Rhinolophus ferrumequinum: one gene and its partners. The protein of the gene in region 2 purifies or fractionates together with the protein of the main gene of each other region. This does not show direct contact. Links are inferred from orthologs where the notes say so. Each region holds a gene or a part of one and is shown on either strand. Other genes may lie near its edges.

What was found. The genes of interacting proteins can lie anywhere in the genome.
Region 1: the proteins of LATS2 (region 2) and AJUBA purify together in Homo sapiens (affinity purification with western blotting; 3 studies listed by BioGRID and IntAct, with this or other methods). This does not show direct contact. The link is inferred for Rhinolophus ferrumequinum from reciprocal best matches to the Homo sapiens genes LATS2 and AJUBA.
Region 3: the proteins of LATS2 (region 2) and LIMD1 purify together in Homo sapiens (affinity purification with mass spectrometry; 3 studies listed by BioGRID and IntAct, with this or other methods). This does not show direct contact. The link is inferred for Rhinolophus ferrumequinum from reciprocal best matches to the Homo sapiens genes LATS2 and LIMD1.
Region 4: the proteins of LATS2 (region 2) and MOB1A purify together in Homo sapiens (affinity purification with western blotting; 9 studies listed by BioGRID and IntAct, with this or other methods). This does not show direct contact. The link is inferred for Rhinolophus ferrumequinum from reciprocal best matches to the Homo sapiens genes LATS2 and MOB1A.

Annotation. Positions count from the first base shown.
Region 1 is NC_046289.1:73,541,556-73,548,638, forward strand, and holds the start of AJUBA (LIM domain-containing protein ajuba), read right to left. Parts: upstream 3,004-7,083; 5' UTR 2,660-3,003; coding exon 1,624-2,659; intron 1-1,623. Other genes in the region: C6H14orf93 (uncharacterized protein C14orf93 homolog), read right to left, coding at 6,514-6,933.
Region 2 is NC_046287.1:104,818,735-104,826,686, forward strand, and holds the start of LATS2 (serine/threonine-protein kinase LATS2), read right to left. Parts: upstream 3,018-7,952; 5' UTR 2,923-3,017; intron 1-2,922. Other genes in the region: histone deacetylase complex subunit SAP18, read left to right, coding at 3,140-3,268, 3,414-3,523. UniProt on the Homo sapiens protein: Negative regulator of YAP1 in the Hippo signaling pathway that plays a pivotal role in organ size control and tumor suppression by restricting proliferation and promoting apoptosis.
Region 3 is NC_046300.1:9,550,896-9,557,938, reverse strand, and holds the start of LIMD1 (LIM domain-containing protein 1), read left to right. Parts: upstream 1-4,040; 5' UTR 4,041-4,788; coding exon 4,789-6,184; intron 6,185-7,043. UniProt on the Homo sapiens protein: Adapter or scaffold protein which participates in the assembly of numerous protein complexes and is involved in several cellular processes such as cell fate determination, cytoskeletal organization, repression of gene transcription, cell-cell adhesion, cell differentiation, proliferation and migration.
Region 4 is NC_046296.1:17,798,611-17,806,257, forward strand, and holds the start of MOB1A (MOB kinase activator 1A), read left to right. Parts: upstream 1-4,644; 5' UTR 4,645-4,881; coding exon 4,882-4,895; intron 4,896-7,647. UniProt on the Homo sapiens protein: Activator of LATS1/2 in the Hippo signaling pathway which plays a pivotal role in organ size control and tumor suppression by restricting proliferation and promoting apoptosis.

The DNA of each region.
Region 1 (7,083 bases), on a different chromosome or scaffold from region 2:
CCCCCACCCCTGGGGGCAAAGTGTGGCCTCATTGAAGTGTAGATCTGTCCCAAGCTTGCCATGCCAGGGGGCCCTGTCAGAGCCATTTCTTTGGGAAGCTTTTAACATTATAGGAAGACCAGAGCAAATTGCTCAGGCATGTCCGCCTCACCTCCTCTAACCCAGGATATCCACACCTAGGTTCTTCCTGCCATTTTATAGCACTCTCTCTGAGCTCTTTTTTCCTTTTGGCTCTGATGGCTTAGCCAAAGAGACTTCTTTCCACCAACTGCCATTTCTCCTGGGCCTCAAAAGGAAACTGAAAAAAGGATCCTGTTACTTAGTCTCCCTTGAGCAAAAAGCATCATCTGCTCCGGGCTTTCCCCTCTAAGGGTAGTGGGAAAAGGATGGTGGTATTGGATCGAACTCAGCAGGGCCGGTTCAGCCCTGCTACCTCTGTACCTCCTCAACTTCCCTCCCTGGGCAAGTTTCCCTCTCTATTCACATTTCTAGAGGTCAAGAGCATGGGGTCCATCCAGGGCAGGAACTTGGATGGTGAGAAAGGTGAGGAGATACCTGGAAAACTGAAGAAGCCCATAGCCCTGGCTTCTTTCTGTTCTTCCTACCACAGTGATTGGTATTTCTTTATATATGAAGTGGTGCCTGTGGGTCTTGGCTATAAGATATTTCAAGACCCCAATATTCCCCTCCCCGCATAGCTGAGACATAATCAGTACTTCTCAAAGGTAATGGCATGTGGGAGAGAGCATATGACTAGGTGTCCTTAACAGCCACAAAAAAGAGGCTAATTCTAGCCTGAATTCTGGGCAAGTTATGGCCAGAAATGAATGCCAGATTCTTTCTGGCAGTTCCACAAGGTTGTTATCCATCCAGGGGCGATGGTGTCCTGGTGGTCATGGCTTCTGCCCTGACTTCCAGAGGATGGGAAAAATAGAAACTGACACCACCAGGTCTCCGCTTAAATGCCCACGCACACACTGAGCCAGCAGGACCGGAGGGAGCCAGCAGAAGGGTCCCTGCTTTCCGTTCCAGGGCGCTTCGTCCTCCCTCCCAGGCTGCATTTACCCAACCACCGCCACCGCTCGGCGCGTGTTAGGAAGCAGGCCCCCCCCTCCCTTCCGCCGCACCCCACCCCTCTGCCCAGCGCCGGGCGGCCGGCCCCGCCCGCGGGCACCTGGAGCGCCGGGACAGGAGCCGGCACGCACGCGGCCGGCCCGCCCCGACCCCCCCGCGCATTCCCCGAATTCCTGCGGGCGGAGCCTGGGCCGGGGTGGGGGCGCAGCGCGCAGAAGCCTGCTGGGGCACCGCCGCCAAGGGGGGAGCAAGATGGGGGATGCTATCACTGCCCCTAGGTCCCCTCCCTACGAGGCCTGCTACCGCGAAAAACCGAGGCTCTAAGCTTGGGGAACTGGGATTCACGAGATAATCAGGTTACAATATAGCAGAAATAAGGAGCCCCTAGTCCAGCTGAAATCCAGTGGGAAGGGAAATCCCTCTGGCCTCTTAATAGCGCCGCGTCTCCGCCTCCGACCTCCCCGCGCCGGCAATGTGGACGGTCGGGGCAGTGAGGAACAGAATGTGGTGACGGGTCCCTTCCTGTCCCTAACCACTTTTCTTACTCACCGAAGTAGTCCTCTCTCGCCTCCGGCTCCCGCATCCGGGTCCGGGGCGCCTCCGGAACGAACGGACCCGGCGACTCCTCGAGACCCGACGGCTCAATCCCCGACGGTTCCCCACGGGCGCCGACCTCTCGCCCACCGGTGCCCACCGTCAGGCGCAGCAACGCTGTTAGCTCATCCTGGTATCGGGCGCCCGCAGCGCAGTCCCCGTAGCCGGTCACCGAGTGTCGTCCGGGTTGCGCCCCTCGTCTCTCCAAGGGCCCTGCCGCTCCCACTCCAGCCCCGGCTAGCGCTCCGGGGCTGCCCAGGGCCGGAGGATACGAGTGGCGGCTTTCCTGGCAGCCGAACCCCGCGGGCCGATGAGCGCACAGTCGGTCCAGGGCAGCATGGAGCTCCGGGTAGGCGGAAGGCATCCCTCCAGGAGAATAGCCCGCCGGAGCCCCCGCCAGGGGTGGGCCAAAGAGACATGGCCCGGCGGGCAGGGGACTACCGTGGCGCTGGTCGTAGCCCATGCTGATGCCGCTGGTACGATTGCTGCAGGGTCGGCTACCTCCGGCTCCGCCAGCCCCCGCCCCGTCCAGCAGCAGGCTGCCTCGGGGGCTGGACGGCTTGCTCGCGTCGCTGGCTGAGCTACTGGCGAAACTGGAGCGGGGGCTTAGGGCTGGGGCCGTGGTCTCCAGCCGAAAGTCGGGGGGCAATGACTGAGGTAGAGGCAAGGCCCGGGTGGGAGGTGGGCCCCCGGGAAAGGAGACTTCATAGCGCTGCGCCTCAAAGGAGCCGCGCGGGTTCCGCTCAGCGTCCAGGGGGCCTTGCTCCCGGGTTGGCTCCAGCGGCTCATCCCCAGGTCCTCCAGTAGCTCCACGGGGCCCTGATTTCCTAGGTCCCCCCGACCCACTCAGGCGCCCCTTGCCCGACCCGGGGGTCCCATCAGACCCAGAGCGGCTAGATTCACCCTTTCTGCGGCCGAACTTAGCGCTGCCGGAGTCCGAGAGTCTTAACTTCTCCAGCAGGCGACTGGCTTTCTCCCCTAACCGCTCCATGCCCTCGGACCTGGGGCCTCCAGCCCCCTTCCCGCCCGGCACCCTGCAGCGTCTCGGCGGCCGCTTCTTTCCTTGCTGTCGGACTCCGGTTCCCAAGGGGCACAGGGTAAGCACACAGGTTTAGCCAGCGGCCCGGATGCCCAGCGCCAGTAATCCCACAGCATCCCCCAGCGAGAGGGGCTGCGTCCCCCCGCGCATCAGGAGCTAAGCAGGTCTACAAGGGCCTACAGCCGCGGCTGTCCCGTCCGCAGGTCAATCTGTTCACGCGTCGACTTGCCCCGCCGCCCCACTCTGCTCGGCCCCCGCCCCGCTCACTTTCACACTCAGCACAGACCAAACTCCTCTCCCAAACTTTTGTCTGCCTGGCCGGATCTACTTTCCCGGAGGGGCGGAGCGCCGACTGCGAGAGGAACGAGGGTGTCTGCGCAGGGATCTCTGGTTCGCTGAAGGGGGCGACGGGAGCTGGTGCTAACTGTCCTGGAGGTGGAGATCCACCAACTGAAGAGAGGAGGGCAAGTTTGGGCAGCGGCTACTACGTCACTCATGAATTGGGACAGGAAAGTTTTTTTGGGGGGGACTCTTTGTTTGCAGTTGGAATGCGCGGAGGGGCACCGTGGAAGGTCGCGGTCGGCACGGGGACGACGCGAGGCATGTTGTGCGCAAACACCGTGACTTTGTTCTTAGTGTGGAGACTGGGAGAGATGGAGAGAAACTAACGCAGAAGTAGGGAGAGATCCATAAAGAGGAAGACAGGGAGAAGAAGGAAGGTAGATACAGAAAGAGTTTTAATGCCGCGTGCGTAGAGTCCAGAAAGGCTGGGAAGTCTTTATAGAGAGGTGGTGGAAGACAGCGAAAGGGAGCCGGAGCAAAGGGGATCGAGGGTGGTGCTGAGACCGAAGGGTGAATAGCCTAAGAAAAAGACAAATTTGTGCAAGTCCAGAGAGAATGAGAGATAAATTGCAACAAAAAGACACCACTTTCTGAACTCAAAGCTCTATTTAGGGAGGGAAGGAGCTTTAGTGTCTATGTAAAAGGAGGACAAGGTTTGGGACTAATCTCTAGCTTCAGGTTAGGACAGGTAGAGGGATAGACACCCCCTGGTGTTGGAAAATGAAATTTTTAGCAAATATTTCAGATAACTGGGGATAGAAGGCCTGGTTTTAGGGCTAGCGAATGCCTCTCCCTTGGTTGGCCCACAGGAGATTGGTGATAAAGAGTAAGTATTAAGAGGAAGAAAAGAAATGTCATTTAGAGGAGATAGCTAGTGAAAATGACCGGGATGGAAAAGGAAAAGAGGCTGATACTGGCCATACTGGAAGGATCAAGGATAAGGAAAAGAAGAAACCGAGGCTGAAGTTGAATATACCTAACCAAATACCAGCCAACTGATTTTGCCCAAGCTAGCACATAAGGGGCAAGGGACGGAGGAAGTAAAATGGAGAAGGTAACTGACTCCTTTGTATTTAGATGAGTAAATGAGTATGAAAATTATATGCAAACAAATCATGCATATTATTTTCATCTAAACATTTTGAACACCTTTATAATCTTAGTGTAGCCTTAGGGAATGGGGAAGGAAAGGAGGTTAATATCTTTTGGGAAATTAATTTGGCACGAACTTTTTGGCTTCTTTGTCCTAGCTGCATTGTTTCCCTGGCCTCGTCTCTCCTGAGAATCAGCCTCTCTGTTTCCCTGGTCAGGCCTACAGCTTTTCTCTGATCCAGAGGAGAGTTTAGTATCAGACTGAAAGCAGGGAGGACTGAAAGCATTAGTAGTAGCAGGTGAGCTATCAGATTGCATCCAGAACTTTTATGAGTGACATCTTCAGAATTAACCATAAGGGTCTCCCTCCTTTGCTGTCTCCAGTTGGAGAAGGAGACGTGGATTCTTCCTTCCAATTATTTACATCCAAAATGTCCAAACAGCCTCTAATATTTGGAAGCTTTGCTCCTTTGAGGTGAGGATGGGAGAGTAAATCTTATGAAAAGATGAGAAACCATTAAAGGAGGCCCATCCGTCCAGGAATTGGTGGTGGCACAATGAGCACAGTTGGGATCAACAACTGTGTTTTCGGGGTATCATGAAGTGGACACGAGTGAAGGGGGGAGAAGTGTGTGCTGAAGGCATGCTGCAGTAGTGCTCATGACCTCGGGGTAACCAGTCCGTAGTCTGAACTGGAGCCAGGAGCTTCAAAGGCCCTATTTTCCATCCCCAAGACTTGAAGGTCTACTATATACGTGTATATACAGATGACTCCCAAATCTGTATCTCTGGCCCAGACTTTCTTGGACTTAAAAAATTCCATCCACTTGGTTGTCTCAAAGGCATGCAACACCCTAAGCTGACCTCACCTTCCCTGCCTCCCAAAACTGGCTCCTCCAGCATTCCCTGAGTACATGGTACCATTAACCACTTAGCTGCTTAAGCCACAAACCTGAACAGCAACCTTATGTTCTCCCTTAACCTCAAATCTAACCAAGTCCTATCAATTTTGCTTTGTAAGTATCTTTCATATTTGTGCTCCTTTCATCACCACTGTGTCTGTCAGGCCACCATCTTTTCTGTCCTGAACCACTACAAAAGTCTCGCTGTGGAGACTTTCTCCCTCGAATTCATCTCATACCCTGAGGTCAAGTGATTTGTCTAAAACACAAAACTGATCATCTTGTTTCCCTCCTTAAAACATTTCAGTGATTTCTCACTGCCCTTGAACTGAAGTCTACACTCTTTAAGATATTTTACAAGGCCTCTACCTCTCCAACCTCTTCGCTAAGCATCCCCTCCCCGAAGTGTTATGCAGTAAAATTGCACCTTGTCTGTACTCTCTAGTACTTTCTGTTGCCTATGTTTGGAACACTCTCCTGGCCTCCCCTTTCCTTCTGGTTAATTCCTCCCCATCTTTCAGGAAACAGTTTAAACACCACTCTAAGAAGCCTTACACCTAGTAAGCAATCAATGTTTGTTATATGAATGATTGAATGGAAATCCATTTTTACTTCTCAATCTATTAAAAATGCACACGTTTTGTATGCTAGTGTGTGTGTGTGTGTATGTGTGTGTGTGCATGCGCACACACCCACACACATCACCCCTTCCTTAAAATACAGCTTGGCTGACAGGACTAATAAATAGCTACAAAGCCCTGTAAACTACCTGCTCACACAGTCACAGAGCAGGTGCCAGTCACACATGAGAACTCTTTAAGCCTTACTTTCCTCATGTGTAGGACGGGAATAATAAAGTCTGCTTTATATAATTCAATAACCAATACCTATTACATCTAAACCCTAATTCCCACACAGGGATGGAGCCCCTATTCTGCTCAGGAGGAGCAAGCCCATGGCTGAAACTGCCCACCAGGTGGCAGTATTACCCAGGACGGGTCCAGTGCTGCTGCTACTGCAGAGCAAGTCACTGAGAAGCAGCAAGTACAACCAGGGCTGCTTCCCCAGAGCTTTGCGTGAAACCTGAAAAAACAAACAAACCAACAAAAACACAAACAAAAAACAAAACTCAGAGACCCAGGCATATGTCAAGAAGGCCTCATGTTTCTTAGACCCATCCTCCTCCTTTTCTCATCCCAGGCTCTTCCGAGGCACTGTTTATGCTTAGAAATAAGCATTTTCTGGCTTGCCATTCACAATGGGTGTGTTGGGGGGGTCCCCTTTCCAGATAAGTCCTTTTATCCCACCAGAGCTTCCAGCTTTCACTTCCAGTAGGGACTGTGTTAAGAAGAGAGGCAGACTTGCTTTCTCAGACTGCAAGGACATCTCATTATTCTGGGAAGCCCGATAGCCACCCATTACTGGGACATGGGGAGTGGCGGAAGCCAGAGTCACTCTTGGTTATAGAATTCACTCATCCTTTTCCACCTTGATTTCAATGAATGAGTTCAAGTCAGGACAGCAGGTTTTGTGGGGCTGGTCAAAAGATGGGGAGACAGGTCCATTCTCATCACCTCCCTCATCTTCCTCTTCTTGGAAATTAGGATTATAAAGTTCTGGTGGAAGGAGCTGGGCCTCAGCAGATGGTAATCGGTCTGAGGGAGGCCCATACACACGGTTGGCTTTAGTGCCATGCTTAGAGTTGGCATCCAGGTGGTAGCAGAGCTCTGTGAGGCGCTGGGCCCGGAAACGGGGAGGCCGGGCCACCCAGACACCTGGTTCATTAAGACTGTCCTCTTCATCTGACATCAGCTCTTCTGTCACATCCTTCCACAGACGCTGGTCCTCAGGTCCGAAATGCCTCATGATACTGGATCGGTTGGCAAAAAGCTATGGTAGGAGCACAGGACAGAGATTAGGAAGAGAAACACACTGTGGATTAGGTTTGGGGAGAGGGTTTGGATGAAAGGAAGGCTGTGTAAAATCCATGCCTGAGAGAACCCAACCCCAAGGTCAAATCTTAGAACTGGCTTACCCTCC
Region 2 (7,952 bases):
CATATGTTGTTGACACTGCAGACTCTTGAGGAAGAGAATGTTCGTTTAAAAACCATTTCAATATAATCATTCAAATGCTTAAAATAGGGGGTAAAGTGAGAGATTCAACTCCATGACAAGCAAATGCAACCCCCATTCTGTTCCACTGGCTTAAAATGTACTGGTAAGGAGATGGCTCTCAGAACCACCGAGAACTGTAATTCTCCTTTGTAAATTCTATAAAGAGAAAGGATGCATATACTTAAATTTTACAGTTTGTGCTCAGTGCTGGACCTAGAAAGCCAAGTAGGTAGACTGAGGGATGCTGAAAGTCAGCCTGAATTGTTCTGATATACAGCTGCAGTTGCACTGTCACAGGCATCAGGACTCCCATTTTGATGAGAGCCTCATTCAGAAAGGTCCATTATAAAAGCTTACATCTAAGCGACTAAACCTCCCAGTCACCACTAAGAGGTCATGAGGTTCATTTTCAGTTTCAATGTTTCCCTTTAGTTTATTGGTTAGAGTGCCCTCATGTGTCTGTATTTTTATACTATGGAGGTTTTGAAAAAGGTTTAATATTAGAATCATAGAACTTGAAGGAAATTTAATCTTTTGTAAAAAACTGGATATTGACTGCATGTAAGGTCCTATCCCTAAATAATAGTTAAAAATTTTTAACAGTGATCTAAATCACACGAGTATCTAAAATGTACAGCTACAATGTAAAAATGAAAAACCACCCCCACCCCTAGTGAGAAAGAGCACATTTCTAGTATTTTAGAAGCTCCCAGGATGCCCTTCATAAATTGGGTCATCCAGCTTACTCTCAGAGATAACACTATCCTGAATTTAGTTTTAATCATCCCAGTTCTTTTCTTTATAGTTTTACCATGTGGTGTTTGTTTCCCTAAACAGTACTTTTTGTGTGGGGGTGGGGGGAGACAGGGAATATTTTCCTAATTTTGAACTCTGCATAAATTGAATCCCATTGCGTTTTTCTGACTTGCTTTTTTAATTCTACTTTTAAAAGAGCATATTCATTCATTCATTTACTTTCAACTTTATGTATTCCATTTTACCAATATACTCTTGGTAGACATTCAAATTGTTTCTAAAAGTTTGACTATGTGTAACAATTTCTCTGGGGCATAGCATAGAAGTGGAATAGCTGGGTCTTCACGTGTACTCATATCCAGTCTTTCTAGATAACATCAATTTTTCCAAAGTAGATCAGAGTAGCCCATAAAAACTCCCTTTTCTCCATCTCCTTCATAGCACTTGGTTGTCAGATTTCCATCTTGGCCAATCTAGTTGTGAAATGTTATCTCATTGTGATTTAAATGTGCGTTTTTCTATGATTATTCATGAGGTTGGGCATTTTTTCATGTTTACATGCAATTTGTGTTTTCTTTGAAAGGCCTATATGCCCTTTGCCCATTTTCTATTGGATTGTCTTTTTCTTACTGACTTATAGGCATTTTTTTTCCTTTGGTGGGGTATTTTTTAAAATAGCATGATACAGCATTCATGCAGAAGAATGCATAAAACATAAATGTACTGTTTAAAGAACAATTTAAAATCAAACGGTGTAATCACCACCTCAATAAAAAAAAAAAACACCTTTGCCCCTCCATGGTCACAATCCATTTTTTTCTCAGAGTTAACGACCATTCTGACTTTTGTGGTAATGACTTCATTGCTTTTCTTTTTATAGTTTTATCACCTGGAAATGAATCCTGAACAATATGGCATTGCATGCTTTTGAATGTTGTAAGAATGGGTTCACATAGTATACATTCTTTTGTCTTCGGCTTCTTACACCTACCATTATGCTTGTGAAATTCATGATGTTTCACACAGTTGGTTTCATGTGGCTGTAGTTTGTTCATTTTTGTTGCTGTATAGATACCACAATTCATTGAACTACTGTAATGCTAATGGACACTTGGGATGTTTCCACTCTTTTTTCTTATGAACAATACTGCCAAGAACATTCTTATGTCTCCGGATACAGCTGAGCAAGGCTGTCTCTAGGGTATATACCAAGGAGTGGTATTGTTAGATCTAAAGTATACGTATCTTCAATTTTACTAAATAATCCTAAACTACTTCCCAAAGTGGTATATATACCATTTGAGAATTCCCATTAGTCTACCAACAACTGTCAGAATTCCAATTTTTACCCAGAGGTACGTGTAGTTTAAAACCAATCAATTAAAGCCGATCACTGTGGTTTTAATGCATTTCCTGACTAGTAATGAGCTTCAGCACCTTATGTTTATTGGCCATGTGGATTTCTCCATTTTCAAATCAATGATTTTACCCATTTTTCTATTGGAATTCTTCTTTAGTTCTTTCATATCCCGGACCCTAGCTCTTGTCAATCACATGCACCCCTGATACCTTCTTCCACTCTGTGATTTATGCTTCTCTTTCTTTATGATGTATGCTGAAGGTTAGGATTTGTTGTTTTTTTTTCTATTTTAATCTAGCAAACTTTGTCAACCTTTTATGGTTAGTGCTTTTTGTATCACATATCCCTATCCATTGGTCATGAAGACGGTCTACTATGTTATTTCCAGAAAGTGCGAGTTTTGCTGTTCACACTTAGGTCTTTGACCGCTCCCGAAATTCTGTGTAGGGGTGGGGTGGGAGGAGTCCTTTCTTCCCTCAGTCCAGGTCACTCACTGTTCCCTCTGTTTTGCAGTGCCTCCCTAGTCTTAACTCAGGGACCACGTTCGGGCCCTTTTACCACGTGTTACCCTACCTCTATCAAAAAAGAGCTCGACAGTTTGCTAATAAAGGCATGTTTTTGCTTACTCACAACAGGACCTCCTGTACTGTTCTTAGGCGTTTTGCGTTAAGGTTTCCATAATTTCGTGCGAATACGCCCTCGTGAGCTTATTTGGCCTGTGAACATTTCAGGGAATGCATAAATACCTTGGCCAACAAGGTCCGGCGACGTCCCTCAGAAGTTCCGCTGCGGGGACGCCAGCGCCCGCCTCTTCCCGAACAACACAACGCGCAGGCGCGGCCTGTCTGGGTTAGTGCACCGCGCAACAAAATGCGCTTGCGCCGCGGAAGGCCCCGCCCCACCCTCACCCCGCCCTGTCTGCTATAAAGCCTCGAGCTTCTCCTCGCGAGACACTTCGTTCTCATGCTAGCTGCCGGGGTCGGAGGTCAGAGCGAGCGTCTCGCGGGCCACAGGAGGAAGATGGCGGTGGAGTCGCGCGTCACCCAGGAGGAAATTAAGAAGGAGCCGGAGAAGCCGATCGACCGGGAGAAGGTGAGGCGTCCGGACGAGGTGCCAGTGGGCTGGCGGGGTGGAGAGCGGGGCCTGCGCGCAGGGGGCGGCTCGGAGGCCGCGGCGCCTGCGGGAGGCTGGCCGCGCCGCTTCAGCTTGTTCCCTTGCCTTTACTCCTGTCCCCCAGACGTGCCCGCTGCTGCTGCGCGTCTTCACCACCAACAACGGCCGCCATCACCGCATGGACGAGTTCTCCCGAGGGAACGTGCCATCCAGCGAGCTGCAGATCTACACCTGGTGAGTGGGCCGCGGGACGAGCGGGCACCGGCGAGTCCCCTGGGCCGGTGGGGAGCAGCCCCCACTTGAGCCTGCGGGCGCCACTCTCACAGAGTTAGTTTCGGCTGTTAAGTGAAAAGATCGGTCCGACCCGTCTTGTAAGCTTCTGCGTCTAATGGTGAACCTTTGGCGTTGTGGAGTTATGGCTGCTTGGTAGAGCAATGGCACGCAGATCGTTAAAATGCGGCAGCCGCCCATAAGGGGCTGCCGGTCGAATACATGGTACTACAGTCACGGGGAAGGGTCAGCCATGCTGTCGAGTGATGTGTGTTGTCCTCGAGGAGCACTTCCAGGTGATATTGAGCCTTACTGCCGTAGCATCAAATATCAGCAAAACCGGGGTGGTTTCTGATCTGATGCATAATAGAAAAGATTTTGATGTGTGCTCAGTGAAGACCTGCCCCTGAATGTGTATCTCTTGTGTGTACCTTACCTACCCCGAGTCTGACTAGGAACGTTATACACAGCAAGCAGCATGTACGTGTAATTCCTTCGTTTGATTGACATCATAATGGTTTTTTAGTAGCAGTACGAAAGGTATACTTTTTTAAAATTTGTCTTTTGTGTGTGTGTATTACATTTGCCATTTTAACTGTTTTTAAGGATACAATTCAGTGGCATTAAGTATATTCACATTGTGCACCATTACTGTTAATCTATTCCCACAACTTTTTCATTCCCTCGCAACAGAAATTCTATACCAGTCCGGGTATATCCAGGGTAATCTACTTTGTCTCTGAATTTATCTACTTTAGACACTTCATATAAGTGGACTTACACAATATTTGTTCTTTTGTCTAGTTTATTTCACTTAGCATAAGTTTTAAAGCTTCATTCATGGTGTCACATACAACAATTCTTTTTTATGGCTAAAATTTCACTGTATGGATATACTACATTTTGTTGGTCCATCTATTGATAGGCATTGTGGGGTTGTTTGTACATTTCAGCCAGTGAATAATGCTGCTGTAAACATGGGAGTACAAATCTCTTTCAGCCTGCTTTCAGTTCTTTGGGTTCTATACCCAGAAGTGGGATACAGTTGGTTCTATACTCAGAAGTAGGATTGCAGGATCATGTGCTCATTCTATGTTTAACTTTTTGAGGAACCGCCAAACTGTTTTTCACACAGTATTTTACGTTCCTCTAAAGGTGTGTAATTTTAAACTGTAAGCCCAATATACTAGAACTCAGCTCTTTAAAGATTTGGACCTTATTTGTCTTTTTGAAGGGGCTTGTTAAGTTTATGTAGTAGTATGAGTCCAGTTCAGTATATCATCCCAGAATAAAGCCAGAGAAGGTTGATTTCAGTTAGAGGGAGGAACTGTTATTACTGGGTTGATGAAAACCTCTGTTCAAAGATTAAAGTGTATATTTTCTCCAACAAATAAGATTTTGTTTGCCAGGTGCTGTACTTAGACCCTCAGGGCATAAAGGAAAGATGGTGCTGACGCTCCCTACAGTGAGCTCAGTCCAGCGAGAAAGCACTCTAACAAATGCTAAGGAAGACTAGGGTGAAGATGGCAGGGTGAGATTGTTCAATAGATCCTCTACTCCCGATCAAGATTAGAAAAATTCCTGTCCTAAACAAACAAGGAAAGAACCTTATACTATACCTCCAAAAAAACAGATTCTGAAAGACTGGATGGTTGGTGTGGAGGTAGCGCAGAGACCTGTCCCTCTCCCAGAAGCAGGAATGAGGGAGGTTGGTTAACAAATCTTAGGAATTCTCAATTTTTGGAACTGGACCGAGAAGCTAATGTACACAGCCCTAAGAAGTCAAGGAAAAGGCAGTGGGAGTCCAGAGGAGCCCAGCAGAAACCAGTTGAGTTTGCAAAAGTTCAGGGCATTGCGTGGGGCTGGGAACAAGACAGATACACCAGAGTGATACGTGTCCTGTGATTAGGTGGTCATTAAACAGGTTACTGGAAGAAAATCATGTAGGCCACTGTATCAGGGTTCACCCAGGAAAACAGAACCATCAGCAGTTTTAAGAGATTTATATAACAAAGAATTGGCTTATACAGTTGGGGGGGCTGCCCGGCGACCTGAATTCCTCATCTGTAGGGCAGTCTATCAGGAAGGGCACTGCTTGAAATCTGGGTCCACAGCCGGCTACGGCCCTCAACTGATTGGATCAGGCCTACTGGATTATCTAGGATGATCTCTAAAGTCCAACTGATGGGACTTGAATCCCACCTACCAAATAGGATGCTCCTTGACTTACCATGGATGGGGTTATGTCCCGATAAACCCATGCTAAGTTGGAAATATCGTAAGTCGGAAATGCATTTACTACTACGCTGTAGAGTATTCGTTGTTTACTCTTCACCTGAGTGCTCAAGCTGTGGACTAGTCAGAAAGTGCACTTGGCAGTCCAGCTGCTCTAGGTGACAGCCCTCAGCAGGCAGGCGGGGGCTCATGGAGGAGGACTATTCACTGAGAGGTGTGAACCAGCTCCCCATGTTCGTCCTGAGCAAGATGAAAATCTGGAAAACGTTTGTAGAAAGGAAGAGAATCCTTTTTGGTACACACAAGTACATTCTGTATATCAGGAATAATTGATTACAATAAACAGCAGAATATCGGGTTAAAGAAAGTCACTCGGGCCTCAAGTTTCAGGCCAACATTGGAGATCACTGGGGACAAAGTAAAAATAAGCTACAAAAGGACAGGGTTGAGAGGAAGAGTAACATCGTTACGAAGTTTTACAATTCCTTCAATTTGACTTTAGTTTTTCCTTCTGTTAATTTCAAGTTTTCTTAAAAATATGTGTAATATTTGAAGCAGTTTTTTTTGTATTGTCTCAGCATATATAACACGCTTGATGATCAATTTCTGTAGCACTGTGCATGTGCACAGAAAGATGCCAGAAGTGGTGTAACGTCACTGGTTACTGCTGGGTGGTGAGGTGTGGGATATAATTTACTGCATTCCTGCAGATGGCTTTCCCCTCTTTCAATAATGAACATGTGTCATGTTGGGAAAGGCAGTCTTGCACAGCTTCTCGCCTATCACAGGGCCACAGTGGCCTTGGGCCTGGGTCATTTCCTTGTAAAGAGGTAAGGGCCCTCGCCGCCTGTGCTGAGCTTTGCTCTGTCCCTGTCCTGGGCTTGATGTTCTTTGTGCTGCTCAAGCATCATGTGGCCCCTTCCCTGCTCATGAGAGGGACATGCAAGACCGTCTGATGGGCTGCAGGTGAGAGCTGTAGGCAGTGGGGGGACCAGCAGTAACGTCTGAAGCTTGTCTTGCTGTTCCTTCTCAAAGTGTTGTCCGTGTCGTTCTTGGCAATCCCAACACTGCAAACCCTGGAGTGGGGTGACATCCTGGGTGCTGCTCCTGGCGGCACATGCTGTCGTGCTCTTTGCTGTCCTCCAACAGTGGGACTCCTCCCCGTAGGTGGGAAGGGGTAAACAGAGGAATTAAATAATGAGAGATTGAAACAGCACCAGTGGTGGGCATGGAGAAAAATGATTTGATCTGTATTGAGCAGGTGGAAACAGCAGGGTAACGATGGGGAGAGGGGAGCAGTGCTTAGCTTTAGGGCTGGCAATTGAGAGGGCATCGGTTGTTCTCATGGTAACGAGAGGAGCGGCTTGTTTCCAGAGCACCTCCTTGTTTCCAGAGCACCTCCGAGCTGGTGGGAGCCTCCATGGAAAGATTCGATTTGGAGTTTTTTACTCAGTGTGAAGCCGAGGCTTGTAAATAGAGTGTTAAAACTAAATGGCCTTGGGCGTTTGACCCCCTGCCTGGTGCTGTGTTTCAGAGTTCTTAATTCTTCATCAGTGCCTGGTGTCCTTGTGTCATCTTATGGGCCCTACAGGCTATGCTGTTTCAAGTTTTAGGTCATCTGTTTCATCTTCCCAGTTGCCATGAAAGAAATACAGAAATTTATACTGGTTTGTTACTGTTTCCAAGATGCTTGTATTTTTAATAGATTTTTCCACATTTGTGCCACATTAGCTCAAAGGATTATATTAATTTCTGAGATCAAATAAATATTTGCAGGGCAAAAATATACATTGTGAAAGGAGCATGTGCTTAGTCTTGAAACTTTCATGTTTCATTGGCTTTTTAGGATTCCATCTTAGAAAGGAGAAGCTGCACATCTGTATGAAAGAGCTTGCCTATCACATGCATTCTACGATGCATTGCGATTTCACAGATGCTGAAATGTGGAAAAGTATGTGTCTTAGAAATAATGAAATACGACTGTTTTAAGTATTTGGATTAATTTGGACTAGTTACCTTAAAGGGGTAAATAAGTAGGCCACCAGGATGTTATAGCAACAAAAATTACCATGTGTCATTCTGAAGCCCCTTTTAGCACTAACGGTCTGACTTTCACTCCTTAAATTTCAAACACCGAGGTTGGTAAAGGGAGTATTTG
Region 3 (7,043 bases), on a different chromosome or scaffold from region 2:
ATGTATCTATTTGGTTCATGGTTCAACACCCCCTCCCCCAGAACGTAAGTCCCAAATAAGACAGGGGTGTCTCTTGTGTTCACTGCCATATTCCCAGCACCAGGAAAAGGACCCAGGGCATCCTAGGTGCCCAGTGACATTTGCTCAGTGAGTGAATGAATGCATGGTGAGGGCAAGGCCCAGGAACAGCGAGGAAGTCAGTGTGGCTGAAGGGGAGCAAGCTGGGGGCATAGAGGGAAATTAGGGTGTCCGATCATGGAGGGCCAAGGGGAGGACCTGACACTAAGTGTGATTCAGGATGCTGCTGGAGGATGGAGGCTTTGGAGCTGGGGAGGGACACGATCTGACAGATGTTACTGAGATTCTGGGCAGGTCAAGTTGAACATTCCACGTTTCGTTACACAAACGAATCAAGTATTCTCTAAATAATGAAAAAAAAATTCCACATTTCATGAGTGTGTTCATGGGCAGACAATTTTTACATCTGCATGCTCATGAAAATAGACTTCAGGACTAAAGGAAAACTGTGTGTTGATACTGGCTTCTGTTACCGCGGCGGGGCCCCGGAACGAGCATTGCCCTGGCATGGCTTCACTGGTAAAATAGAGCATAGGACAATTCTTACTCAACAGACAAAACAGCATGTTATCGGTAAGCACTTAAACAAAATGATGCATGCTCTGCCTATTTACTGATAAATATCTAGCTGTTCAGTAACTCATTTTATAAACAACTGGTGTGCACGTATTAACACATTTTTGGAGATATTAATCTGCAGACGTTTCCAAGCACACAGAACAGTCCAAACCGGCCTATCTATATTAAATAACCACGCTGTCCTTCTAAACGCGGGGCACAGAATTTGGAAGCATCTCTGCCCTTAATAATTAAATACAGCAGTAAAACCACCAGCGGCCCCCTGGCCATTTCTAGCATTTCTAAGTACCTTTTCACAGCAGTATATTATGAGCTGTGTTGCTCATGGGACTTCATCTTTATAAGCTGTTTTGTAAAAGTACAAGGAGCTCCACTGACTAGGAGGGGGCAAGCTGGTTTGGTCAGGAAATACGTGGATCGTGGGTTCAGGTGCATGTGTTTAGTTGGTGGAGATGGTGCAGTTACTTCTAGACCTGCAGTGGGAGTGGGGCGTATTGTCCATGGTTTCTGAGCACTCCAGGCAAACCAAGATGGGGGCAAAGGAGGGGGGCAGGAGGGAACCATGGAGTGTGAGCCTAGGTTGCTGCCCAGCTAGGATGAAAAGAGAAGACTGATTTGCAAAAGGCCCCGGCTGTTGTCAGTGGCTCCTGCTCGGGGTTCCCAGCTGCAAGCACTGAACACCCAGAGAGCTGGCCCTGGGCTCATTAGACTTTGCACAGGGTCGGCCCCATGTTCCCAGTGCTTTGTCGCCTCCATCCCCAATACTAAAGGGTTAGGCTACGTGGGCCACAGCCTTCCACTCTCATAGATGTGCTCACCTCTGTGTGCACCAGGATTCTGCCACAGCGCCTTGAGGAAACATGGGACTTAGGACTCTAGTGGCTCCCAAGTGTGGCCCCTGAGCCAGCAGCATCAGCACCTGGAAACTTGTTAGAGATGCACATTCTTGAGCGCCCACCCCAGAGCTGCCGAATCAGAAACTCTGGAGGTACGTAGGTCCAGCAACCAACGTTTTAAGATGTTCCCTAAGGAATTCTGATGTGTGGTCAAGTTTGGGAATCACTGATCTAGAGCAGCTCTAGGTGATGCTGATGGAGCTGGTTCCAAGACCATACTTCGAAAACCACTGCCCTGGAAATTTCATCAGCAAAGTATTCAATTTATGAGTAATCCTGTTATGAATTAACAAGTATTCCTGAATACCTAAGGGCATAACAATGTTGAATAATGCTTGCCTCTGAACAAGGGGATTGTGGGCAAGTTTTAAGAAGTTTACGTATCTCTGTATTGTTCAAAGTTGTTATCATGAACATAATAGTATTTTATACTTTTGTAGATTAAAAAAATTAAAAGATAGTCTAAAAGTAAAAATACCTCACTCTAGTATCCTTCTTTATAGCAGTGCTTCCCAAACTTGATTGTGCAAATAAACCACTCAGGAATATTGTGAAAACGCACATTCTGGTTCTGTCGGTTGGGGTGGGGCTCAAGATTCTGCATTTTCAACAAGCTCCCTGGTGATTCCAGTCTACTGGCCCAAGAATCACACTTTGGGTTTGCAGAATACAAAGCATTTTCTTGTATATTATTTGTTCCTTGTCACAACCCCGGCAGATATATTCGCTAATTCCCTTATTCAACCATTAGATATTACTATGTACCAGGTACTGGGCTTACAGATGTGGTCTAATGAGGTTGAAACCCAACCAACCACCAAAAAAGCCTTATGTAAACTGATATAGTAAATAATTAAAATAGTGATCAGGACTGATCAGGAAATTAATTAGAGGGTGCTGAAAAAGAACAACAGGAATGACTCTGGGAAGGCGGAGATGGGAAGGATGAGCCTGAGATGTTCAAGGACAGGCTCTTGGCACACTCCAGGAAGCTCCTGCAGCTAGAGCGCAGGGAGGTGAGACTCCGAATCAGGTGAGGGGGGGAAGCAGGGCCTGCTAGGATGGGAGCCCTGTGGCAACGCTCCGATTTCAATCTTTCTGACGTAGCTTGGAGGGTGTGAATCAAAAATGGGTTCTATAGGAAGTCACCTCACAGGGTGATCTGATCATAAATTCCTAACTGGGAAGGTTGAGGTGGGTGGTCAGGCCCCAGGCATATAACTTTTTAGTGAAATTATATCTTTGCCTTAAGCAAGCCCTGCCCATGGTTTCTGTGCATCTAGGGTTAACCCACAATGAAATGCCTCTTTTCAGACCCTTCCTTCTAAAAAAGCACGACCACATAATCTTAATTATCCTGTAGGCCGGTGGCTGCTTTCTCCCACCCTCGTGTAATAACCATCCTTAGTTACCTCCTTAATTCCAAATGCATAAAAGAAGCTGCAAACTGTCATTTCTGGGGAAGCGTTTATCTCAAACTGTTGAAATCTTGATTCCTGGCATAGCTTCTGTTTGGCCCAAATAAACTTTTATAAAATTCTCTAAGGTTTCAACGTTCTTAAATTGACAAGGGTTTAAGTAGGGAAGTGACTGGTCTGATATTTGCCTTAGGATCACTCGGGCTGCCGTGGGGGAAATGAAACCTCTCCTGTCACCTCGGAGTTGGTGCTGGGAGCCGGGAGCCCGGGGCCATATGAGGAAGATCCCGAGTCAGCCGCGCCCTCCAAAGTCACGGATCTAAATGGGGGTCAGGAATGCCTATACGATAAGGAGCCATCAGGACACGCGTTTTAATTGTTGCCCTGAGGACCTCAGAGGCCCGCGCTCCCGGAACAACGTGATCTTTCAGAGGACTTGGGCGCCCATCCACGCTTTGCTGGTCACGACGGCATCCCGGACATTTCCCTTCTGTGCCTTAGTCTCCCCACCTGTCAAAGAGGACGTCGGGCCAGCCCACGGGTGACACCCCGGGGTCTCCAACCGTGCACCTTGGGCAAGTTGGGCGGCGGGCACCGCTGGATCAGAGGCGGCGTCCTGAGGCACACGCGGGGTTGGCTTCCCGCCCGGGAAACTGAGGCACGGTGGGACGAGGAGCGCGCGCCTCCGAGACTCCCGCAAACTCAAAGCGGCACGCTCTCGGGGCCACGCAGGCTGCCCAGGTCTCCTGCCAGAGGTCACAGCGCGGAGGTCGGGGCCCAGCGCTGCCAGAGACCGGGCAAAGCCGGGACTCGCAGGGGACGGCAGTGGCAACGGGGCCCCCCGGCGCAATCCTGGCGCTGGAACGCAGACGAGCGTGCGGGACACTCCCCCGTCCCTCCCACGTCTCCCCAGCCTCGCGGGGCACCGGCGGCTGCGCCAAGGTGCCGGGCGCAGACCTGCCCCGGGCGCCCGCCCTCCCGCGCGCCGGCCCCGCCCCCCGGCCGCGCCCCCGCCCCCCGGCCGCGCCCCCGCCCCTCGCTACCTCCCCCGCCTCCGCCTCCTCGCAGGCCCGGGAAGTGCTCGGCCAGCGACCGAGCGGCAGGGACGGCGGTCGGCGCACTCACTTCCGTGTCCCGCCGCCCTTCGGCCCGTGCGCGCCCAGCCACCGCCGCCATCGGACAATAGGCCGTCCGCCCCGGCTGCGGGGAACTTCCTGCCGCGTCCCGGGCGGCCCGTGCGCCGCAGACCGCGCTCCCTCCTGGCGCGGGCCAGGATTACAGCTCCGGGGCAGCCGCCAGCGAAGCCGCGGGGACCGAGCGCCCGGGACGTGCCTGCGACTCTGGCCGCCGCGCGTTTGCTCCGGCGGGACGCGTCGGCGGCCTCTACACTTTCCGGCGGAGCCGGCTTCACCCCTGCTCCGTACACCGGCAGCTGCCTTGTGGGTTTCCGAGTTGGGTTGCTTAAAGAGGATGTGATTTTTTTTTTCTTTTCTTTTTTCTTTTATGATTTGAAAAAGAGAAAAGAACCGCACAGCAAGCTGGGACAGCGAAGCGCCACCATCTGCCCCCACGTGGACACCTCCAAGGGGAAAGGGAGTTGGAAGCCAACTTGGTCCAGCTGGCCTTGCGGCCTCAACTTCGGCTAGACTCTAAGGCCCGGGGTCATGACTCTCACGCTGGGCAGGTGGAAGGCTTTACTTCTCCTGGGCTGGACTTGAGCCCCCCGTCCTTCTCCAGCATTACCCCCTCCTCCCGTCCAAACACACGCATCCACACTACCCTGCGCCTTGGTCTACGCCCCCTCACCGGTTGGCGACATGGATAAGTACGACGACCTGGGCTTGGAGGCCAGTAAATTCATCGAGGACCTGAACATGTATGAGGCCTCCAAGGATGGACTCTTCCGAGTGGACAAGGGTGCAGGCAACAACCCGGAGTTTGAGGAAACACGCAGGGTGTTTGCCACCAAGATGGCCAAAATCCACCTCCAGCAGCAGCAACAGCTCCTGCAGGACGAGTCGCTGCCCAGGGGGAGCCGAGGCCCGGTCAATGGTGGAGGCCGCCAAGGCCCACAGGCCCACCGGGAGGTTGGTGCTGGCAGCAAGCTGACCATGGATGGTGCTGCCAAGCCCCCTCTGGCTGCCTCGACAGCAGCTCCTGGGACAGCCACCGCCATCACTGCTGGGCAACCCTTGTACCCACCCCAGGAGCAGAGGGCCAGGCAGTATGTCCATGGCACAAGGCCTGGCAGCCAGAACTGTGGTTCCAAGGAAAACATGGCAGGTTCTGAGATGTCTACTTTCCCCCGGCTGGGCCCCTGCGAGGATCCTTCCTGCCTCACCCATGGAGACTATTATGACAACCTCCCCTTGGCAAGCCCGAAGTGGGGTGAAGGGCCAGGAGTGTCCTCCGGCATCAGGCTGGGTGTAGGGAGTGGGTGGCCTGGCCCCCCAGGAAGTGATCCACCACTGCCCAGACCTTCCAGGGACCATCACCTGTACCAGCCTCAGCTCTCCCCGAGTTCCAGCAAGTCATTCGAGAGTGGCCAGGATGGTGGTGGTTGTGGCCGCAGCAGTGAGAACCCAGCAGGTCTTTGGACCACTGCCTCTTCCCAGCGGGTGAGCCCTGGCCTTCCTTCCCCAGGCCTGGAGAACGGGGCCCACCTGGGGCCCGCTCAGCCCAGGACCCCCTCTTTCTCAGCACCACTGGCCCTGAGCTGCTCCAGTCAAGGAGCTCTGCCAAGAACAAACTCGGGGGTGGGGAGTGAGGTCTCAGGCATAATGCCCAAACCAAATGTGGACCCTCAACTCTGGTTCCAGGATAGCCCCAAACCTTACCTTTCTAGTTCTGGCCCATCATCCTTACCGGCCAGCATGGACAGTTTGCAGCTGGGTGCGGCCCCTGGCCTGGGTCCCAAGCCTGGCTGTACTGACCCTGGCATTGGTCCCAAGCTCAGCCCCACCAGCCGTGTCCATCCAGTGATGTCCACCCTGCCTGAGTTATCTTGTAAAGAAGGTCCCCCTGGCTGGTCCCCTGATGGCAGCCTGGGGCCTGTGCTCCCAGAGAGCCCCAGCACCCACAGAGTGAAGCTGCCCTGCCAGACCCTCATCCCGGGCCCTGAGGTTGGGCCCTCGGCCGCCGAACTGAAGTTAGAAGCCCTCACCCAACGTCTGGAGCGTGAGATGGACACTCACCCGAAGGCCGATTACTTTGGTGAGTGAGAGGTTGGTGGCATTGCCCACAGTAGGTGATGGAGTCCCCCACGGGGGATGCTGTAGCTCTCCTTGAGTGGCCGGCCCCTCCCTCCTGCCCTCCCCATTAAATTTGGCTTCCTTTTTCAGCTGTTTCTTGTGCTTCAGAAACTTGAAAGCATGCGTGGGCAGAAAGCAGATCTTGCAGCTGGGGGTTACCCATGTGCGAAGGGTGAAACAGGGTGGGATTGCTCGTGACTGCTTTTAGAAAAGGGAAGTGCTATGACTTTGGTTTTCAAGGGTTTCGGGAGTGCCTCAGAGCCCGTGCAGTGACTGGCCTGTTCAGGACTTGAATGCAGCAGCTTTCCCAGGTGCCAGTACCCCCGAGCGGTGGTGCATCCATAGTCGGTTGGGCCAGACAGGTCCAGCTATTTGAGGACGGGTGGTGGGACAGGGGCTCTGTGCAGCCATGTGCGCATGTCTGTCTGTCTGTCTATAGGTACTGTGTGCACTTGAGGCAGCCGTAACAGGAGCATGGAAGACTGTTCTAGAGCAGTGGTTCTCAAAGTGTAGTAGTCTTCTGGACCAGCCCCATCCCTTTGCCTGGGAACTGGTTAGAAATGCAAATTATAGGGCCCCACCCCAGACCTATTGCATCAGGAACTCTGGGGTGGTACCCTGCAATCAGCATTTGCAGAGCCAGCCAAGTGGTCTTGACATGCCGGGAAAATGGAGCTCTGTGGACTAGATAGGTCCCTGCTAACTCAGCCCCCATCCAGGGTTCCAGCCAGCAGCCAGGTGACTCCCTGTTCAGGGCTCACACTGGAAAGCTCCTTGCTGGTTTTGCTTCAACTTGCAGATTGGGTTTTATGCTCTTTTTT
Region 4 (7,647 bases), on a different chromosome or scaffold from region 2:
AGGTAGGGGAGTCACACCACTATAGTCTTGCTGCCAGCTGGGTTGGAGACACAGGAAACAGGAGCCACACGATCTGCAACCCTCACTCCGCCACTTGCTGGCTCAGCCACCATCTTCTTGCTAGCCCCCATTTTCTGCTAGCGTAGCCACAGCAGTTATATTAGTGGCCAATGGCTCACTGGTTAGAGCTGACGGCCAACTAGCCACAGCTGATGGCCATCCAATCACAGTTGATGGCCATTTACTACCTGAGCCAGCACCTTTCCACGTGAGGCTGAGAGCCTGGAAACTGCACTCCTGGCTCTGTCCCCACAATAACAATTTGGTACTTTGGTACCAACAAGAGCAAGCACAAACGGACTGTGGTACTGAAATTGTGTTTAGAATGAGAAAGTACTCTCTGGGCAAACAGATAAAACTACTCAAGCTACACAAAACTTCTGAAATTCAGGGATTGCATCAGTTAAAAAATTGGTCTAAAATAATATTTAGGCAAAAATCCAATCGCATTCATTTAGCAAATATTTGCTGAGTATCTACTCTGATATAAGGCCCACAAGAGGCACATGTAAAATACAAGTAAATAGGGATTTACTTTCCAAAAGTTGGTCATCTGATAGAGGTGATAAGACATGTCAAAATTTCTTCCTATTAAATACCAAATGTTGATTTAGAGTATATATGTTCCAAGAACTGTCTAAGTGAATTCTATACCTTAAATCATTTAATTCTCACAACCCTATGAGATTGCCCCCCCCATTTTACAGATGAGAAAACTGAGACAAAAGGTTATAAAAATAATCAAGGTCATATGGTTATTAAGTAGCAGTGGCAGGGTTCAAACCCAGACCATCACCTCCAAAATATAAGCTTTTTAGTCACTATTCTATCTTGATTCTCTTAAAATAAAATAAAAAGTAAAAAATAATATAAGTATGTGTTTACTAGAGAAAAAATGGAATTTTCAGAAAAGCAAGAGAACATAAATCCTGAAATTCCGACTCCCTAACACAAGAGCTATTTAATATGAAAATACTACTTTCTAAAAACTTGAATTGTGATTGTACTGGGGGTGACAAAAAAATGTATACAAGTGGACACTTTGGTCAATGTTGCTCAAGCAGTAGTTCGCCATAATCAGAAGTGTCTGGATGCTGATGGTAACCACTTTGAGCACCTCTTGTAATTGCAGAAGTCAAACGTGGCTTGTATTCACCTTTTGTTATCAGTATATATTGAGTATTACAATGTTAATAGTTTTTTTCCTTTCTTAAAATGTGTATACATTTTTTTGGTACCCTCTGTATGTTGTAAGAAGGATATAAAGGTCTATAGAGGAAGGAAAGAGGATTTCTGGCTGGATCTTAAAGGACAGGGTGTGATGAGGATGTTGGGTCATTCCAGCCAGAAAGAATTTCAAGAACAGGAGCAATGATTCAAGGAGGTCCAGGGTTTATTATGGAAATAGGAAGGAGTTGTTTGGCTGGAGCACAGCCTTGAGCAATGAAGCTAGAAAACCAGAAAACTAAAGGCCAAGTCAGAAAGAGCACTGAGTCACTTTGTCTTTCATCTTATCAGCACTGGTAATACTGCACTGATTACCACTTTTCTCTCTCTCTCTCTCTTTTATTGGGGAAGGGGAACAGTGTGTTTTTTCCAGGACTTTGTTGGGCAACAGTGTGTTTTCCCCAGGACCCATCAGCTCCAAGTCAAGTTGTCCTTCAATCTAGTTGTGGAGGGCACAGCTCAGCTCCAAGTCCAGTCGCCATCTTCAATCTAGTTGGGGTGGGAGGGGCCAGCCCACCATCCCATGCTGAAGTCGAACCGGTAACCCTGTTGCTCAGAGCTTGCAATCTAACCAACTGAGCCATCCGGCCACGCCGGATTACCACTTATTTCTGTATCAATCTCCTCTATTAGACTGGGATTTCCAGTCTACATGTCCATTCATTCAATGAGTAGTTTCTGTGTACCAAGCACTGTGCTGAGCATTAGATTAAATGAACAATCTATATCTCTGCCACTAAAGGAATTCACAATCTAGTGGGAAGAAAATGTAAGATAGTTCTGATGGAAATATGAACAGTGTGGGTTTTTGTCACTTGCTACCAAAAACACCTAGCTAAAGCAGACTATTACCAACAAATCTGGCCATGGTCTCCCTTTCTATATGTCCACACTCCCACCATATAGAAGCCAGATCATAGGGAGAAAACAAAAGAGGTTCTTAAAAAAATAAAATCACTGTTATCAAATGAGGACTCTGTTAGGATCGACCAGATACAACTAAGTGGTGGGGGCCGGCCCGGTGGCTCAGGCGGTTAAAGCTCCATGCTCCTAACTCCGAAGGCCGCCGGTTTGATTCCCACAAGGGCCAGTGGGCTCTCAAACACAAGGTTGCCAGTTTGATTCCTCGAGTCCCGCAAGGGATGGTGGGCAGTGCCCCTGCAACTAAGATTGAACACAGCACCTTGAGCTGAGCTGCCACTGAGCTCCCGGATGGCTCAGTTGGTTAGAGCGTGTCCTCTCAACCACAGGGTTGCCAGTTTGATTCCTCAAGTCCCACAAGGGATGGTGGGCTGCGCCCTCTGCAACTAGTAATGGCAACTGGATCTGGAGCTGAGCTGCGCCCTCCACAACTAAGACTGAAAGGACAACAACTTGACTTGGAAAAAGTCCTGGAAGTACACACCGTTCCCCCAATAAAGTCCTGTTCCCCTTCCCCAATAAAATCTTCAAAAAAAAGAAAAGAAAAAACTAAGTGGCAAGTAAGACAATGACTGAAAAATGCCCATTGGATTTAGAAACTAAGACAGTGGAGATCTTGGTGAGAAAAGATTTTGTGGGAGGGTGGGCAGGGTGCAGAATCTGGATGATGGGTGCTGAGGAATAAAGGGATGGTGATGTCATGGAGACACTGAATAAAGACTGTTATTGTACCAGAACCCCTTTCTGAGTTGTTGGATGGTTCTTTGGGAGGGTCTGAGGTAACTTTAAAGTGAGATAAAAATAAATTTGTTTCAAATGGCCAATAAGCACATGAAAAGATTCTCAAAATCAACCAACAGGGAAATGCAAATCGAAATTACAATGAGATACCACTTCACACTCACTAGGGTGGCTGTAATAAAAAAGACAAATAGCAAACGTTATTGAGGTTGTGGAAACATTAGAACCCTCAGATATTTGCCAGTGGGAATATAAAATGGTGCAGCTGATTTGGAAAATAGTCTGACAGTTCCTCAAAAAGTTAAACATATAGTTACCATATGACTGTGGGGGAAGAAAAAATAATTTTCCTCCTACCTTTCTAAGTTCTTTTGGCAGGACTAATAATCGAATTAACATGAGACAGAGTAACAGAAGAAAATGACCAAATTTATTACGTATGTATATATATGAGGGCTCCCTAAGCATGTAGGACCAGAGTACAGATGGACACTTAAGGCTTATATACCATCTTGAGCTAAGGAGAAGAGAGGATTATAGTTGGGACTTCCAATGATATGAAGACAATTCACATGGAGATGAAAAAGCAAAAGTTTGGTAAATAAATGTTTCCTGGGTCATTTTAAACAATGGGACACAAAGAAAACTTTGATCAAAAGGCCTTGCTAGGTTCCTTCCTGTCTATCACACTTGATTCATATTAAATTATCGTTACGTATGATAATAGTTCCCATTTGGAGCAGGTTTTCTATCTAAATTCTTTTAGGCAATTAGGGGGAAGATTAAAGTTCTCTCAGAGTCTTTTATTTCTTGAAAATAACCAGCTTAAAATAGTATCCTAAACGGCATATTTTGGGGTGGTAACGTCTACTTCTCCTCATGACCAACCGGTACAGAAATATTCATAGCAGCATTATTCATAACAGGTAAAAAGTGGAAACAACAGAATGTCCATCAACAGATGAATGGATAAAATAAGGTATAATATATTCAAACAATGGAATATTACTCATCCATAAAGAGGCATGAAATACTGGTATATGCTACAATACAACATGGATGAATCTTGAAAACATCAAGTTAGGTGAAAGAAGCCAGTCACAAAAGACCATATATTGTACAGTTCCATTTATAGGAAACGGCCAGAGTAGGCAAATGCACATAAAAAGGTAGACCAGTTATTGCCAGGGGTTGGGAGGAGGGAGGAATGGCGAATGACTGCTAACGGGTACTGGTTTCTTTTGGGAGTGATGAAAATATTCTAGAATTAAAGAGTGGTGATGGTTGCACAACTCTGTGAACATACTAAAAAAACACAACACTGGAGCATTTTTTTAAAAGTGTGACCTCTATGCTATATGAAATATATGTCAATTTAAAATTACATTTTCACAATTGCAGCATTCATAGACGCTCCATGCTATCCAGGGAATGTAAACCAAAAGCAACAAATACAAGGCCAGCCACTCCCCCTCACAACCCGCACCCCACATACCCCCAAACCCCCATCCCCCCCACGCATACCCCCACCCCGTCCAGGGCCGCAACACTACCATCCCTGTGGGAGAAGCAAGGCCCGGATTGAGGGCTGTGACTGGGAGAGGTGATGACTGGGTGAGCTCTAAAAGAGGGCGGGGTGAAAAGGGGCGCGTCCAGTCCCTGTCGGCGAGGGGCGGGGCAGAGCGAAGCCTTCTCTCGCGAGATTATGCTGGTTCCGCATTTGAGATCTCTTAGGTGGGGGAGGCCGGCGAGGTGGGCGCAGCATCTTGCACCGGCTTATACCGGCTCGACCCCGGCTCGGAGCAGCAGAGGCCAGTGCTTCTGCTGTCGGCGGGCTGAGGACTGTGGGCTCCGTCCCGGTTTCCGCGCCGGCTCCGAATCCTGACCGCGGCGGGGGCCAGCGGCCCCTCCCGTCCCCTCTGAGGATAGAAGATGAGCTTCCTCTTGTGAGTGCGGCTCGGCTGAGGGGTCTAGACCTGAGTGCCGAGGGCGGGTAAGGGGGAAGAGCAGGGTCTGAGGCGAGGGCCGGACCCGGCGTGGCCGGCGCTTGCTTTGCCCCGGCTGGGGGCCACTGGGCAGGCCAGGACGTGGGCCGAGGCTGACGGTCGAGGCAAAGGAAGTGGAGCGAGAAGGCTGGGGAGCAGAAAGGCCCCGAAGCCGGTAGGGCCTCCAAACTTTTCCGCCTGAACGCCCCTGAGGTCGGAAGGACGATCTGGGGGCGGAGCCCCAGGCCCTACCGCAGGCTCCCCATTTCTCTAGGCTGGTGTCTTTTCTAGTAGCGATTCTTTGCTGACTTAGCTTTTTACTCCACCGTTTGTCCAGCTTTATTAACGTCAGTATTAAATGAACCCAGCGGGAAAATGCCGCCCCAGGAAAACGTGGAGTGCTGCAGTTTGAGAAGCATTGCTCTAACACCTTATTCTCAAGCGGCTCCCTCTACGTAGTATATTGCTTAAATATGTGTTGTATGGTTGGATAAATATCCATTTTAAAAAAGTTACGGACATCACCCACATACGTGACATTTTTATTAAACTTTATTAAGTTACATATTTTTTCATAACTAGAATTTATCTACATAGTTCCTTATTGTGAGAAATTTGGATTCTTTCGCTATTATAAAAGAGCACTACTGGAAATATCTTTGTCCAAATCGTTTATCCCCTCCTTTTGATTATTTTTTAAGGGTATAGGCTCCAAAGTATGTCAGAAAGTCTGTATGATTTAGATTTTAATTACAAATTTCTATATTACTACAGCAGTCCCCCAAGTCTTATGAGTTAATGTTTAGTTAGTGGTTTGTTTGTGGACGCACAGTTGCTTGGTTGCTCATTAGACCTAAATGTAAGGCTGTTTGTTTGTTTTAAACCTTGTTTTGTTGATGGACAGTTGAGTTTCCACTTTTGGCTTTTATGAATAATGATGCTATGAACTTTTGTGTACTACAGATTTTTGTATTGGATGTATGTGTTCGTTTCTATTAGCCATATACCTAGAAGTGGAATTGCTGAGTTACATGGTAACTATGTTTATTTAACCTTTTGAGGAACTGCCAAACTTTTTCAAATCACTGCACCATTTTGCATCCCACCGACACTGTTTGAGTTTCATTTTCCCAGCACCCTAGCTAGCATTTGTTAGTTGTCTTTTGGATTATAATCATCCTAGATGGTTGTGAAATGGTATCTCATTGTGATTTTAATTTACGGTTCCCTAACGACTGAGAAGGTTGAACAGCTTTGGGTGCTTATTGGCCATTTGTAAATTTTTTTTTGGAGTAATGTCTTCAAATCTTTTGACCATTTTTATTTTTAATTATAGTTGACAACCTTGGATCATTTTTAAATTGGGTTGTTTGTCTTTTTGTTTTTGAGTTGTAAGAATTCTTTATCCTGGATACAAGTCCCTTATAACATCTATGATTTGCAAATATATTTTCCTATTTTGTGGATTGTTTTCACTGTCTTTTTATTTATTTACTTTTTGGTTTTTCTTTTTTTGTTTTGTTTTCACTGTCTTGATAGTGCCATTTGAAGCACAAAATTCTTAATTTAGATGAAGATCATATTGAATCATAAGCCATCATTCTGTTAGTTTTCCATATGTAGCTTCCTGTCATTCACAGCTTTCTATTTGTGAAGGGTCATTCCTTCTAATTTAGTACTTCCCTATTAAATGTAGGTATTTAGCATGTTAAGAATTTTCCATGTTTGATTTTTACTGTTTTTGTTATTCCTTTTTACTTCTTAATCAGCCTTATTTAAAATTCAAATTACTCGGGTAAAGTGAAAGCCCACAGTTTTTGTTCCCTTACCCCTTCTTAGAAGTAATCACTGTATCTATTCTTTTTTTTTGTTTTAATTTTTTTAAATTTTTATTGGGGAATGTTGGGGAACTGTGTGTTTCTCCAGGGCCCATCAGCTTCCAGTCAAGTCGTTGTCCTTCAGTCTAGTTGTGGAGGGCGCAGGTCAGCTTCAAGTCCAGTCGCTGTTTTCGATCTTAGTTGCAGGGGACGCTCGCTGCCCACCATCCCATGCGGGAATTGCTCACCATCCAATGTGGGAATCGAACTGGCAACCTTGTAGTTAAGAGCTCACGCTCTAACCATCTGAGCCATCTGGCCGCCCCTAGGTGTATCGATTCTGACACTTGCAATGCATTTACAAAATGGGTTCTTGCTATACATTTGGATTTGTGTTTAACCATATCTTGAGATCTTTCCATGTGCATAGATGTAGTTCTATCTTGTTCTTGTATCTTGTTCTTAACTACTATATAGTACTCTATGATACAGATGTATCATGGACATATCATAGTTTTATTCATTCTTCTAATAAACCTTAGGATTGTTTCCAGGTTTTTTACCATTAAAAGCAATCTTGAAAAACGCATCCTTGTTTATATCTTAAGATACCTAGAAGTGGAAGGGACAGATTGAGGAGCATTTCAGTGTTAACATATACTGCCATATTGCCCTCCCCCAAACACCTAACACTTTCACCAATAGTGTATTAAAGTACGAATTTCTCTATAACACATTTAATTAGGTGGTTTTAATTTTTGACACTCAGATTAAGGAAAAATAAATCTTACTTTAATTAAACAGCCTTTCAGATGTTCGTTGCTCAATGTTATTTTTCCTTCTTAATTGCTTGTTCATCTCCTTAACCTGTTTTCCTAAAGGGTTCCTTACCTTTT